Drosophila melanogaster: one gene and its partners. The protein of the gene in region 2 purifies or fractionates together with the protein of the main gene of each other region. This does not show direct contact. Each region holds a gene or a part of one and is shown on either strand. Other genes may lie near its edges. The genes, in order: Ilp5, conv and ImpL2.

Region 1 (3,319 bases), on a different chromosome or scaffold from region 2:
GCGTCCCTGTCTTTTCGTCTGATTTTCCTTAGCCTGCGAATCCTGACCAGACTTGGAACGCATTATCGGCGATGGCAAGGGTGGTGGAACTGGAGTGCTTGGCGTACTGCTCGACTGCCGTTGGAGCAACTTAATCCCACCGGTGGCACTCACATAGGTGGGACTCTCGGTTCGCGGCTGGATGTCCTCCATCTCCTGGTGATCCTGCAGATACGAACAGGCGTCGTCGTAGATCTGCTGGGCACTCAGCTTGAGCTGGTCCGCCGATGCCTCCACGCGAATGGGCACAATGCGAGTGTTGGCCAACGGACTTGGACTCGGATTCACCGGACTGATGCTCCCATTTGTGGCCAAAGCCAAAGCCATCTGCTGCTGCTGTTTAACTGCCACGTTGTCAATTACCATTCGCCCTGCTGTCTTCGCTTGATTGAGATTTGCGGCAGCTGGCGACACCGGTGTCGGTGGCAGCGGCAAGGTCTCCAAATCCACATCTTGACCAGAATTGGGATCATCCTCGCTGTCGCCGTCGTGGCCATATGAGATCTTTACCTCAGTGGCCAGTTTTATGCACCGCCGTTGGACTTTTGGCTTTGAAGTTCTCGGCTTAGGTGGCGGCAATTCCGGAGCACCCACTGTACGTTTCCGGGAGCGGCTACGATCCAGGGAATGAGCCTGTCTCTTGTATCTTGGCCTATATGGAGTGATTTGAGTGGGCAGAGTTGGTGTGGCGGACCTTTTGTGGGCCAATTGCTCGTAGTACTCACATCGCGGAGCCACCAAACCCAAATCCACATCGGCTGCCTTGGTCTCTGGAGCGGAGAATCCCTTGGATATGGGAGTTTGATGGAAAACTTCCGCCAGGTCAGGTTCTTTGGTGTGCTTTTGGAGCGTTTTTGATCTCTCTTTGGAGCCACCATCGCGTCGTCGCTGCTCTCTCACTTCATTGGCAGTGGGTTCGATAACCAGGGTGGGACTCTGGAACTTCTCCCTCAGAGCCTCAATACTGTGCGATGGGCTGCAGGAGATCTGATGGCTCTGTTCGGGATTGATAGTTGGTTGATCCTGCTCAGCTGGAGGCCAGCTGTGATCCCGTTTGAGCAGATGCCTCTTGGTGGCCAGACGGTTGATTTTCAGCACCGTGTCCCGATCGATAGTGATGTCCTGCTGATGACTGAGATAGTCTGTTTTGATCTGGTTCAGAAGCTGCTGGTGCAGCGTGTGATGCAGTGCATCCACCTCGCCTCGTTGACGCGGGCGACTCTGCCTTTCAGTGGGGTAAAAATCTTTGTGGGGGAAGTCCCCTGAATTTATTTAAATTTATCTGTAAAAAACACTAATATTGGACGAGCACTGGGACTGGAGTTTGCTGTTTTGTTGTATGTTTCTACACTGTTTCTTTTTGTCTAGGCAACATAAAATAAACGCGCATAGACAAATATCCAAAAAAGAGAGGTATATCTTACCACATTTGGCTTGTTGTTCTTCCTCTTCGACGGCGCGCAGAACGGCCGAGTTGGCCAAGTTCAGGGGCTTCGTTATTTGATCGTCGACTTCAATCCTAAAAATAACGTAAAAATACAATACAATTAGTAAGAATCAATGCACATCGTATATTGTATGAGGTAAAATTTTAAATTTCGCGGTATATACTGCTTGTGTGTTTGGCGCACTGCTTCGACTGCTTGCAAGCAGTTAGCGCCAAATTTAAATTTATTTTTAAATATGCTCTCCTCGCAGGCATGTATTCGATTGTCATGCGTTCTTTTGGTATATGTTATAGAATTATACATGTGAACAGGCAAAAATGTAATATACGACTTTACTTTCTTAGATATACAATAAGTACATTACTTAAATATTTCATGAAATACAAACTTATGATCGTATGCACTATTTGCACGATAAGCCAATTAAACATATTGAAAATGAAAGCCCTTCTAACTAAAGACCATATATATCGTTATACATTTTGATTTCAGCTATTATATATAGATTCCGCCACCCCCTTGGTGCATCCGATTAAGCGAAAGTTACGCTAATCCATGGGCATAAATTAATGATAGCACCCTGCGATGTCCTGACATTGAAAATTAGCAAGTACGCTCCTGCCCACGCTGACCCCAAAAGACTAATCCAATCTGACAGGTGAAAGTGCGCCGGCGGATATAAAAATGGCTGACAGCGGCGGAAACTGCACCACATCCTATCCAGCAGCAGTTCCAGCAAGGCAATGATGTTCCGCTCCGTGATCCCAGTTCTCCTGTTCCTGATCCCGCTCCTGCTATCCGCCCAGGCCGCAAACTCGCTGCGGGCTTGTGGCCCCGCCTTGATGGACATGCTGAGGGTTGCCTGTCCCAATGGATTCAATTCAATGTTCGCCAAACGAGGCACCTGTGAGTATCGGCTGCGTTTTTTTGGGGTTTGGGGTTTCCAAACGGCACGAACTCACTTATTTTACTTGCAGTGGGCCTATTCGATTATGAGGACCACTTGGCGGATTTGGATAGCTCCGAATCTCACCACATGAACTCACTGTCGAGCATTCGGCGCGATTTTCGCGGCGTTGTCGACTCCTGTTGCCGCAAATCGTGTTCCTTTTCCACGTTGAGGGCATACTGCGACTCCTAAAAATGCTGCGATACCTGGTCCATCAGTTTACATACATACATATATGAGACATGTTACGTAAAAGTATTAAGTATAAACTATATGCACGGCTTTGAAACTTGAAACTACAATAAATAAGCGCAATTCGAAACATCGCTTTTTAATTTCTTCAAACATTAAATATTATAAATATTTCGATAATAATTTTAGCCTTTAAAAGTGAACAGATACACTAAATGGTTAGCAAAAGAACAATATGAACAATTTTAAACACACTTTGATATATCCAAATTCTATTATAACAATGTTTATTTTTTTCCATACGAAAATATGCTCCTTTGAGCGGAAGGAAAATCAAATTTTGATTTAAATCGCAGCAAGTTGGGTGGAAATTTTGCACACAAACAAAACTATGCCTTTCGCTTGCCTGGCGATTTTCTTTAAGCTGGCAAAAAGAGTTTTCAACTTTAATTATAATTTGCTTGAAATGTTTTGCTTTCAACGCATCATCTTAATCTGGGACGAAATGTTTTGCCTCAACAAAACGAGATAACAAACAGAAATATTTAAGCTAAGAAAATGTGCCTGCTGAGATAAGACCTTAAAGAATTTATGGACGACAAAGTCCAGAGATAATCGCCAAGCTTTAAGCTTTTTCGGCAATTTAAGACGAACGTCAGCCATTCCTCATTAGATCCGACATTGACCTTTT
Region 2 (7,731 bases):
CGTATCTAAATGAGATACATGACACTTCTTTTTGCTGGCTTGGTACTTGACAATTACTTTCCTGATAACCCGCTCCCAAGTTTGAACTGCGAAACAAAGCTTAACGATTAAAATTCACTTAAACCTCCAACAATTTGACTTTCAAAACGCGTGCTGATTTCATAAGCATGCGACTGTAAACTAAAATCAGCAAGCAAATTTAAAATTTACACCAGCTGAGTTTTTAGCCTCAAAGCGCAGGTGCACTAACTAAACAAAAATAAATGTGACTTCTACAACTTATTTAGTGGGTTAAATAAGTCGATTAAATTCTCAACACACAACTGTTCAAAATGTATGCGATTCCGAAGATGCTCCACTTTTTGCCAAACTGTGAGCTGTAATTTAATAACAAAGTTGACTGGAAAAAGCTCATTCAGATGCCCCGCATTCCAATTACTCGATACAAAAGATTCAAGTGTTTTCATTTTATTCACTCGTATTGCAGTAGAGACGTCCAAGATTATAATGATCAGTGAATCTGTAGTTGATAAGCTTTTTTATAAAAAACAAAGACCGATCATGCCGGTTACAACTGAATGTAGCAGCCGTTACGTTAATATTAAGATACTTAAGGTAGACAATAGCAGATGGTCAGGCAATGGAGACCTAGTCCTTGGCGGGCACCTCAATGACGCGGGGCTTGTCGATGATGCGTGCGGTCTTATTGCCCTTCTCAACGATGCCGATGATCCAGGCCTGGTAGCCCTCCTGCTTCTCGATGTCCTTGCAATAAGCAGCGGCCTGCTCTCGCGGCAGGCAGATCAGTAATCCTCCCGAGGTCTCCGCCGAGTGGCCCTGCAGCAGCTGGAACATGTTGCCGCAGGCTTTGGCCACTGCAGCCATCTTGGCGATCACCGGCAGATTGTGGATAACAAAGGAGACATCCTTTTTCTGATGTGCAGCCAGGGTTTGAGCGTGGCCTAGTAGTCCGAATCCAGTAATATCGGTGGCTCCGTGGGCATTGTACTTGTGCATGAGGCGAGCGGCTACGCGGTTGAGGCGAGCCATAGAGTTCATCGCCCGGTGGTAGGCCTTGCGTACATCTTCTTCGGACACCACCAGCTTAATGCGGTTCCAGCGCTCCGGCTGGTCAATCCACTGGTGGGCATTCACGGCCACTTGGGTGCCCAGTGGCTTGGTTAGCACCAGTACATCCCCTACCACGGCATTATCTGGCACAATATACTCATTTGGCTGGCAAATGGTCGAGGCAACCCCACCAATGGTGCACCACGGATTGACCACGCTCTGGCCTCCAGTCACAGTGGTGCCTGCCTCCAAAGCGGAGTCCTTAAAGCCTCGCATTATCAGCGGAATGACCACGTCACGCTCCTTCTCTGTCATCTTGGTACTGACCGCCAACAGCATCAGCATGTTATCGCAATCTGTGACTCCCATGGCATACAAATCGCTGAGCACATTGGCGCACGCAATTTTGCCCATCATGTAGGGATCATCGACAATGGGGTAAAAGAAATCGGTGGTCTGCACCAGGCAGAGTCCGCCGTGTCGCAGCGGAATGACGGAGCAGTCCAGGCCAATACCGATGCGGGGAATGGCCACGTTGAGAAACTGCGGTTCCTGGTCCTGGGCAGAGTAGTCCTGCTGCAGGGCGGACACCAGCTTGGAGAGCACATCCTGCGGCACTTTGCAGCCGCGCCCCTTTAGATCTGCGAAGCGTGTAAGGCGGAAGGATGCATCCAAATCATGGGCCGTGGGATCGAATGGACGACGCAACTCGGCGTCGCCACCACCATGGAGCTCCAAATGGGCCGAGTTCAGCACATCAGCGGCGTAGCTCATCTTGCTTTATAGCTGTGGATGGGGGAGATGCAAAGAACAGAATGTAAGTAGCGGCTTTAACCGATTAACGCACTTTTGCCGCGCAATAAACACATAGTGGGCTACTCTATGCAGCGAGTAACTCGCGTTCTCCCCGGCCACCAATACCACAGCGCTCAGACGTGTATGTACACGGATTTTCTGCCGCGTGTGTGTAGCGCGGCCCGTGATTGGCTGCAGTCGCGATGGCGGCTAAAACGGGCGAAGTCAGTATTTCTCCCTGTCGACGAGGCGAGCAACGTGAACAATGCCCACTCATTTCAATTGCAAAATGCCAAAAAGTGCGCGCTTTGAATTGGCCATTTGGTTCGTTGCGTTCGTTTGTCTTTTGGTACTTACGTTTGCTTGTGCGATTGTACAAAGATAATTGTAGAGTAACGTTAGCAAATTATATTTATTTTGCGCCTGGTTTTTGCTTTTCCAACGAGCGAGATGTCACAACAGGGTTGTATTAGCGTGTGCGGCTGATTCGATATTTGGGATGCCGATTGTCTGAAGCGATGGTTCAACGGGGCTGCCAACTCGCCCGAAATCTATCGATTGTATTGTGCGCCAAGGGTAAAATAAATAAAAATATGTTAAAACCGCGGAATAAATGGGGGAACCGAAGTGGAAACTGTGGTTCACAGTGCTCTGACTTTCGGGAGCAGTTAATATAGTTGGCATTAATTCAATTAGAGCTCCAAAGTGCTGGTCACAAAGAGCGCACAAGAGCGGCCCATGAAAACCTGTTGCGCCAGCAGAGCGAAAAGTAAAAGTAGAAGAAACCATTTACCTTTGTTCGTTGATAAGACAAGTTAACTTTACTCCACATCCCAAAAAAAAACCCACCTCATTCAAGCGGAACATCGTTAAACAAAGAACTATAAGTTTCAGGAAATCGAAGCCCACACAAAAGACTTGAGCAGCGAACTTGGTTTTGGGCCATGGGATAAACTAAATTAAAACGGTGACGAAATCATTAAAACATGATTCAGCTACGCCTGCGCACTCTCGTTTTGCTGCACTTCATTGCCCTAGCCAGTTCGGAATATGTGTATGGCGAACCCGAATTCAAGTGTCCAAAAAAGTGAGTTATTCCAAATATTGTATATTACATATTTCTTCACTTATATGGTGTTTTTTTTTCAAATCAGATCAAAGGCCTTGTACCCCTGCGAATGTGTGAAGGGCAGCGATAATGGCCTCTACATTCGGTGCGAAAATACAAACTTGGCTACCTTATCCGTAGCCCTTCAGAATTTGGCCTCTTTTGGTATGCCCATCGAGGAGTTGACCATCTACAGAGGACATTTCGGTGTGTACTTCTACACGTCCTTTTAGTCTGTTAAGCTGAAGAATCAAATTCTCTTTCTAGTTCGTCTATATGGGCCACTATTTGCTCATATCAAAGCACGAATGCTGATCATAGAAGAAACACCATTGGCCACCATTGAGGATTATGTTTTCTATGGAGTAAATAATACTTTGGAGCAACTGCATTTACTTCGCACAAATCTAAGCCACGTTGGTTTACTAGGATTCGGCGTAAGAATTAAACAATATACCGATACCATCGTTATCTAAACGGGAAATTCTTTTTTCAGATTCTAGGAAAAGCTAAGGAACTCGTAATCGATGGCCATGCGTTCCAACAGCTACCCAAGGATCTATTTGCTGGCCAAGAGATCGCCAATAGTCTGGGAATCATACGTGTGACCAATGGTAACCTAAGTGATCTGCCTATTGAGACTTTCCAGCCATTGCGGAAACTAAAAACGCTCGACTTGCATGGAAATCAATTGGAGAATCTGAAACGAAACCAATTTAAGAATCTAAGAGAGTTGGAGGTCTTGGATATAAGTCACAACCAGATCAAAAAGCTGGAGGCACAGCACATAGCTGATCTGACAAAGCTGGGATGGTGCAACGTTTCTCATAATGCCCTAAGCGAACTTAGTCGCGGAACTTTTGCCAGAAACTCTGTGTTGAAGGTGCTCCATTTGTCCCACAACCAGATTGCACGCCTAGATGCGAATAGTTTTAGGGGTATGCGTTTCCTCCGTCGTCTTTTCCTCAGCGATAATGTGCTCACGGATATTGGTCGTGGTACTTTCGGCTCAATTGCCCGCATTGGAACTATTGATCTTGCACGCAACCGTCTTAAGAAGATCGAGTTCCAGATGTTTACCCAGATGAACTATGTGGAGGTACAATTGCTAATATAAAATTTGAAAAATTTAACTAATTGCTGCTTTTCAGTTGCTCGATTTGGCGGAGAACAACATAACCAAGATTGAAAAGAACTCTTTCAAGGATATTTACCAGGCTATCATAAACGTATCGCATAACGCTTTGGAACTCATTGAAACAGCTGCATTTGAAAATTGTGTAAACATCACGGTTCTTGACTTGTCTCACAATCGGTTGGCCAACTTTTCGCGTCGCAGCTTCGATGAGACCACTTTCGCGACCTATTTTCAGCTGAGCTACAACAATCTTACCAATTTGGCACAGATTCCCATTCAAAATATGACTGGCTTGAAAGTCTTGAATGCCTCGTACAATAGCATTACCGAAATACCCAAAAATTGTTTTCCAAAGCTCTATGAACTGCACACCATCGATGTCTCGCACAATAACATCTCCAGTATATTTAATGGAGTTTTTCAAACCCTATTCTCGCTACGCTCAATTGATCTTAGCCATAATAGCATGAGGGAAATCAAGTCGTCGACATTTGGCACTTTGCCAACCCTCTTGGAAATGGATCTGAGTCATAACGAACTGGTATCCGTAGTGCGAGGATCGCTGGCCAAGTTGACCAGTTTGCGACAGCTGTATTTAAATAATAATCAATTGGAAAAACTTTTCCAGTTGCCTATTTCCCTAAATGAGCTGTACTTCAGCCATAACAGGCTGACTAATATACCATCGGGCACCTGGCCAGTGATGAACTCACTGATCTACTTGGACCTAAGCCATAATCAGCTGGGAGACACTCTAAACGGGGAGAGTTTTACAGGTCTGTTGGTGGTGCAACGACTGAAGCTGCAAAACAATGGCATCAGTCAGCCACCAAAGGATGCGGTGGCTGTCATGTCAACACTGCAGTACTTACATTTGGAGGTGAGCAAATGCTATGAGAATTCTAACCTCCAAACTCATCCAACTTTTTATTTAGAACAACAATATTACGACCTTAGAACGAAGTGCCTTTGGTAAGCTGCCCGTCTTGTTTGAGTTAAATCTGTATGGTAACCAAGTTAAGGATATAAGGTAAGATTTATCTAAAATCTGTACATTTTTTATTTATAATATGACTAATAACCCATTTATAACTTGTAGCAAGCGAGCTTTTGAGGGACTGCTGCAGCTGCTCACTTTAAATTTGTCATCGAACGGAATCCAGACTCTGCAAAATGACATCTTTGTTGGTCTACCATCTCTGCGAAACCTTGATCTGTCCTTCAATTCTCTCACCAAGTTGGACAACAAAACCAATGGTGTTCTGGATGATTTACTCAGTTTGGAAACCTTAGATTTGAGTCACAATCGTATAAGTTTTGTTACCAAGAAAACCTTTCCCTCTCATCAGTACATTCCGTACAACCTAAGAAACCTGAACCTAAGCTACAATTTGATGCCAATACTGACCTATGATATTACATTCGGCACCAAAAAGCTGGTTCGGTTGGATGTATCTCACAATCAGATCAACGATCTAAGGAGAGGAGTTATCTCTAATTTTACTTCACTTCAAAGTTTGGATATGTCTTATAATGAACTATCTAATCTGAAGTCTGAAGAGCACATCTTTGACCTGCCTCAAAACCTGAGCTGGTTGGACCTTTCCCACAACAAAATCTACCACTTGCCGTTCGCCAATCTGGTGAAAGTGAAATCCCTGAAATATGTTGATCTTACCAACAATAGTCTGGAGGATGTGCCCGCTTCGATAGTGGGCAGCATGCGTAATGGTAGCCAAGTACTTCTGGCCGGAAATCCTCTGCACTGCGGATGCAATGCACGACCGTTGAAATACTTTATGCTGCAGCAAACGATAGCTGGAGAGGATTTGAAGAGTATTTACTGCGGAACGCCGGCTTTGATCAAGGACAAGCAGCTTATATCTTTGGACGATGAGTATCTGCACTGCGCCGAGGATGAGCAGGAGATGTATAAGGGCATTGACTATGAACAGCTTACAGATGTCCGATTCCGAGAAGTGAAAACGTATGCATATTTTGCAGTTTGAACTTAAAGTAACTTATAATCCTTGTACATTTTTCAAATAGCAACAAAGCGGGCATGTTGACCCTATGCTGGTATGTCTCCGGCTTTTCAGACGTCTCAGACTTCCACGTTTATATCCGAAGCAGTAGCAACGATGTGCTTCACCAGTCGGACTATGCCTATAACAATCGTACTGCCCAAATCCCGGTGGAAGAGCTATCGACGCTGGGAGAAGAGAAACTTCGAGGCGCTGAGATATGTATAGTATCCCGGGATAGCGATGGAAATACGCGCAAGTGGTTCTCCGGGCAGTGCCAGCAGCTACCTTCGCTGAAGCGGCCCCGGACTTTCTTCTTCGGAAACTTTCAGGTCCGCGGTGGCGTTTCCCGGACCTCCAGCAGCCTACCTCGTTGCCTTTTGTATATAATACTCGTTTTGTTTGTTGCCAGATTGTAGTTAGCATGGGAAAACTGTGCACCAAGATTATTTTCTTAATAAGTAGATAACTATACTCGAAAATGATTGTAATACTGATTGTCTTCAAGTTACAAATTGTGCACTTTATGTATGTAAAAATCGTTTTAAGTTCGTATCGATGTGATAAAATGAATCTTGAAAAGAGATCAGATTGTCCTTGATCTTTGATCCCATTGTTGGCCGTTTGCTAGTGTGTGTCGCTGTGGCCATGGCTCACTGTAAGGACACGCTGTGCTCTGACCTTACAGCTGAACATGTGCGCGACGCCCTATTATCACAGCCGTGCGCACATGTATTTGTTTACTTGGACGCCGCCTCGCGTGGGCAGCGCAATTCAGAAAGCGTTGGAGCCCACAGCCAACCCAACGGGCCAGCTGATGGCTGATGGCCCAGGCTGGCTGACTTTCATTCAGGGCGAAAACACAAAGGCTGTAATCCGAAGTGCTCTTCGGCGCGGCGATTCATTCTCAACTCGGACTCGGCTCCTGTTTGTGCAGCGGGAGCGGACAAAAGGACTGCGAGCGAGTGAAAGGACTCGCCTGAGAGCCTGGCAAATGCGCACTCGCGCTCTCAACCGAAAAGGCATGCGAGTAGCACACTGGCGGTCGAAATTGTTTGCACAGCTACAGTATCGGCATGCTCCTAGAATTATGCTATTGTTTTTGTTATTTGGCTCTACAGTTTCCTGTTCTGAATATATTTAATTTATTACCAGGGGGGAAATATACATACGTTAGCAATGTTTTTAAAGCTTTATTATTTCTTAAATATATACAACACAAATTTAATGTAAAGGTACAGCAATTAAGATTGTTTTTAATTTTTGGATTTTATTACTGAGGTAATTTCTGATCAATACATGTGTGTATTACACCCTACCTTATTCGATAGCTTCCAGGAGATATTGAAGGAGCATCCAAAGGACCTATCAATTCGACCGAACCTCCACTGTGCCGCAGGACACGAGACACTAAGGACATGTGCACTTTCACTGCCGCGCGCCACCCACATGCTCTCGGTTTCACTTTGGCCGCAGAAGAATGTGCTTTTGTGCCGTTCGCCTTTGCCATCCTGGTCCTCCTGCCCCCGCCGCCTCCTCCTTAGGATTTTGGCAGGCGACTTTGCCTGTCCTTATCGATTTTCAGCGAATCTCGC
Region 3 (4,179 bases), on a different chromosome or scaffold from region 2:
ACTGGCACTCACACTTGATTGCAATGAGGCGATCGCACGGACAGATTGGACAGATGGACGGACAAGCCAGTGACTTGGACTCGGAATCGGATTCGAACTCAGACACGGTCTCGGCTAATGGAACCTTGCACCATGTCAGTGCCACTGCACCTCCTCCTGCGCCAATCCGATCCCCAAGCTAAGCAACCACTCTGGAGACTGGGCCAAGAAAAAAAAAAAAGAAGTGGTCTGTTCTTGGCCAGACATTTGAATGCTGCTCGCACCGTCAACGGGCTTTAAGTTCTGATTCCCATGGGTGGTTATTAATTGGGAGATTGGTTATGGATTACAAAATTAATTCGTTCGAATGAATTCGAAACCATGGAGTTTTAATTAATGGTTTTGACAACTACAGTGCTAATTCAGTAAGCTAAACGAATAATATACGGTTGATACTTTGCACTTCGTCGAAATGATTCATGAATATTAACAGAGTAGTGTGAAGCACCTTTATATGTAGGGTTAATTAATTTTACTTACATGTGATAGAAAGTCATAGGATCTCGAACACTGTTGTATGTTCTCAACAACTTGCATAAGATGACAATGTTAATTGTCAAGATCGAAATGAAATGGTATATGGGCTGGAAAGTCATTGAGCTATCCTTGTGAGACACCTCAGTTTCCAAACCACCAACTCTGGACTGCGGACGCAATTAGGCGGTGGAAAGACAGATCCCGAGGCGGATAATCGAACCCCCCGTCCGGTTATATCTGTTTTGTTCCGCACCTTCCCGGTGCGGCGGTCGCATAAAGAATTACGATCCGAGAACGAGCAGAGAGAGAGCGGCGAGTGAGTGAGAGTGTGTGTGTGTGTGTCTGTTGTCTGTGTGTGTGTGTGAGTGAGCCGGCGTCGCATATAAATGGAACAGCGCTGCGGCCACCAATTCAGTTCTGTTACAGTTTCCAGCTGTTGAACACGACTTTTGAGAGCCGCCGAAGCCAACTGATCCGAAGTTAACTAAGCCGATCCGCGATCCTCGCTTTTCAATTCGCCGTGAACCGCATTCGCAGCAGCAATCCCCCCCAAAAACCAAAAACCAACACACCTTGACTCGAGTGTAATGTCGATGAACCGTGCGTATTCAAACGAGTGCCGCGCCAACCAGACAACCATCAAGAAGTACCAGACCAAGTCCACGTCCACATCGAAGGAGCACTGATACCGCCACGAGGATCGAATGTGCCAAAGTAGTCAGCTAGATATTCGCTACGCCGCCTGAGATTAACACGCTTCCGCTACCCAATTACTCGATCCTTATCCCGATCCTGAAGCGCCACTCCCGAGCACAGCACCCAGACGTTTCAATACGATCCATCCTCGTCGCCCAAGACAGACCGGCAAGCAGCCAAGATTCCACCAACACTGAGCTGCACGACCTCCAAGACGGCATCCAGCGCCGGACCTATGTCAGTGCTAAGCCAGCTGCTGCTCAACTTCAACCAGAAAGCCCAGACCAGGAGCCATCACAACATAGAGCTGATAAATTCGTTCATAACATAACGATAAGCCGACCTGCTTCTGCTTTACCTGATCTATCATCGTCCAACGTTGGGGAGAAATTTGCAAACATTTTTTACCGGAAGAGAAAAAAGAAATCAAATCAAAGGGTGAGTAATGTGCGTTAACAATAGATAGGTGATTGCCGCCGAACGCAGTTTCGTGTTCCGTTTTTCGTTTGTTTTTTTTTTTTCAAAATTCGAATTCGTAGAAATGCCCAAAGATACAAAAATCACCGTCGAAGGGCAAAGACCGTCTGATGCAACATTCGCCAGCGATTGGCGAATGACTTTTTGTGGGGCTACTACTAATTCATACATACAAGCGTATGTACATACATAATACCCTCGAAACTATTTGAATAATTAATCGGTCACGCAGTTTGTCCAGTCTAGACTATGGGGACACATTGGCCCTTGATCTGCGGCTGAAGCGTGGGTGAGTGTGTGAATCCGAATCGGGCTGTAGAATTCGAATTTAAATTGACGTCACACTCCGCGAGTCATTCCGTTTTCCGTTTTCGATTTCTGCCTCTGATTCGGCCCACGCAAGAATCTTATATCATTTTCTTTTGTCAATTCTTGTTGTCTGGTGACGTGTCATTGTGAAATACATTCATCTACGTTTGGACCGAGCACATCTCTTAGGGGCCGGAAAAGGATTCCGAATCTAAATTCCGGACTCCGAGAGCCATTAGCACATTTCGCAAGTGTTAGTAATGTTCTAGAGCCCGCCGACTGAAGGCCTTGCGTTCTTATCGGGGAAATAGACTCGGAGACCTCCCCTGATTAATGGAGGCGGTGATGAGTGGGGGAAGTGGGGTGGTGGGGTGGTGGGGGGATGCATGACTGGCTGAAAAGTCGGGCTAATCGCATCACGTTGCTCTGGGGTTTAATAACCTATATTAGAGTCGTACGAGTGCCGCTGTTGAACTTTGAACTCACTTCCGATTTCCACTCTCTCTATCGATCTTGCAGAAAATGAATTTACATGTGTGCGCCTTAGCGCTGCTGCTGTTCGGCAGCATCGCCACTGTCCGCGGAAGAGCCGTGGACCTGGTAGACGATAGCAACGACGTGGATAACTCCATCGAGGCGGAGGAGGAGAAGCCACGCAACCGAGCCTTCGAAGCCGACTGGCTCAAGTTCACCAAGACGCCGCCGACGAAGCTGCAGCAGGCCGATGGAGCCACCATCGAGATCGTTTGCGAGATGATGGGCTCCCAAGTGCCCAGCATCCAGTGGGTGGTGGGTCACCTGCCCCGCTCGGAGCTCGATGATCTGGACTCCAACCAGGTTGCCGAAGAGGCGCCCAGTGCCATTGTGCGCGTCCGATCGTCGCATATCATCGACCACGTGCTGAGCGAGGCCCGCACCTACACGTGTGTGGGACGCACTGGCTCCAAGACCATCTATGCCAGCACTGTGGTGCATCCTCCTCGCTCCTCTCGTCTGACGCCGGAGAAGACCTACCCGGGTGCCCAGAAACCGCGAATCATCTACACCGAGAAGACGCATCTGGACCTCATGGGCTCCAACATTCAGCTGCCCTGCCGCGTGCACGCCCGTCCCCGCGCCGAGATCACCTGGTTGAATAACGAGAACAAGGAGATCGTCCAAGGACATCGCCACAGGGTGCTGGCCAACGGCGATCTTCTGATCTCCGAGATCAAGTGGGAGGATATGGGCAACTACAAGTGCATAGCCCGCAACGTCGTCGGAAAGGATACCGCCGATACCTTCGTGTATCCCGTACTTGTAAGTATTCCCCTACCCGCCGGGTTATACCAACTCATCCTAAGTAATCCCTACGTATTTTTCTTGTCCTTGCAGAATGAGGAAGACTAAAGATCCTACCACCAAATAAAAAACAAAAGGCTATTGGATTGACGACGGAAATTCATCTAGTTAGTTAGATAGATCAAATGCCTTCGAAGATGCGTGAAAAGAAATGAAATATGCTTAGAAAAAATACAAAAAAAAAAAAATCAAAAAAAAATATGATGGATCAAAAGGTCATACGATTTACAATTATGTACAATTTAGATTAAGCACAATCTAGCTCGTAGTCCAGGTAATTAACCGTATCTAATGCCGGCTTAGACACTAATTTTCCCACTTATTATCCTCGAATATCAGTCACATTTAGAGCATTCGAATTATAGCACCTACTTTATGGTTTTCTTCAATTATAGCTTTAGTTATCGGCTTGTAATCACGCTTCTTTGGTTCTTTGTAAGTAGCAATGATTGTTCCTAGCGATTCAGGCAGCACTAGTTAACGTATTTAAACTAATTGGCCGTTTACTTAAGGGCACTGCAGCCCAAGAAGCACTTATGACTCGTGGCACAAGCCACAGTCAATCAACCAATCAATCAGTCAATCACCCACCCAATTCGTATTTATGTGCACCCATCATTTCTACAACTAATTTATTGATCGACCAAATTCATTCAGCATCGCCACCCATACAGAATCACTGAATAGTATTCACGGAATTAATCAGTTTCATAAGCTACCCGACTATGTTTTAATTTATAAGGTAATAGAACTGAAATATGTTTTTCTAATTGTTTAGTGTTAGTTTTAATCCAACCTTCAAGCGATTGTTTTTGAATAAATACAAGAAAATTGAAACAA

Evidence for each region.
Region 1: the proteins of conv (region 2) and Ilp5 purify together in Drosophila melanogaster (affinity purification with western blotting, with the first as the bait; one study listed by BioGRID). This does not show direct contact.
Region 3: the proteins of conv (region 2) and ImpL2 purify together in Drosophila melanogaster (affinity purification with western blotting, with the first as the bait; one study listed by BioGRID). This does not show direct contact.

Annotation. Positions count from the first base shown.
Region 1 is NT_037436.4:9,822,785-9,826,103, reverse strand, and holds Ilp5 (Insulin-like peptide 5), read left to right. Parts: upstream 1-2,206; 5' UTR 2,207-2,230; coding exon 2,231-2,393; intron 2,394-2,464; coding exon 2,465-2,628; 3' UTR 2,629-2,755; downstream 2,756-3,319. Other genes in the region: CG43897 (uncharacterized protein), read right to left, coding at 1-1,301, 1,464-1,558.
Region 2 is NT_033778.4:14,268,318-14,276,048, forward strand, and holds conv (convoluted), read left to right. Parts: upstream 1-2,411; 5' UTR 2,412-2,852; coding exon 2,853-2,953; intron 2,954-3,020; coding exon 3,021-3,181; intron 3,182-3,241; coding exon 3,242-3,411; intron 3,412-3,470; coding exon 3,471-4,073; intron 4,074-4,125; coding exon 4,126-4,992; intron 4,993-5,047; coding exon 5,048-5,142; intron 5,143-5,211; coding exon 5,212-6,099; intron 6,100-6,161; coding exon 6,162-6,555; 3' UTR 6,556-7,178; downstream 7,179-7,731. Other genes in the region: Sps1 (selenophosphate synthetase 1), read right to left, coding at 649-1,845.
Region 3 is NT_037436.4:4,224,045-4,228,223, reverse strand, and holds ImpL2 (Ecdysone-inducible gene L2), read left to right. Parts: upstream 1-2,273; 5' UTR 2,274-2,331; coding exon 2,332-2,340; intron 2,341-2,517; coding exon 2,518-3,297; intron 3,298-3,372; coding exon 3,373-3,387; 3' UTR 3,388-3,514; downstream 3,515-4,179. Other genes in the region: CG46460 (uncharacterized protein), read left to right, coding at 1,448-1,543. UniProt on the Drosophila melanogaster protein: Essential developmental role during embryogenesis, in particular the normal development of the nervous system. May be involved in some aspect of cell adhesion.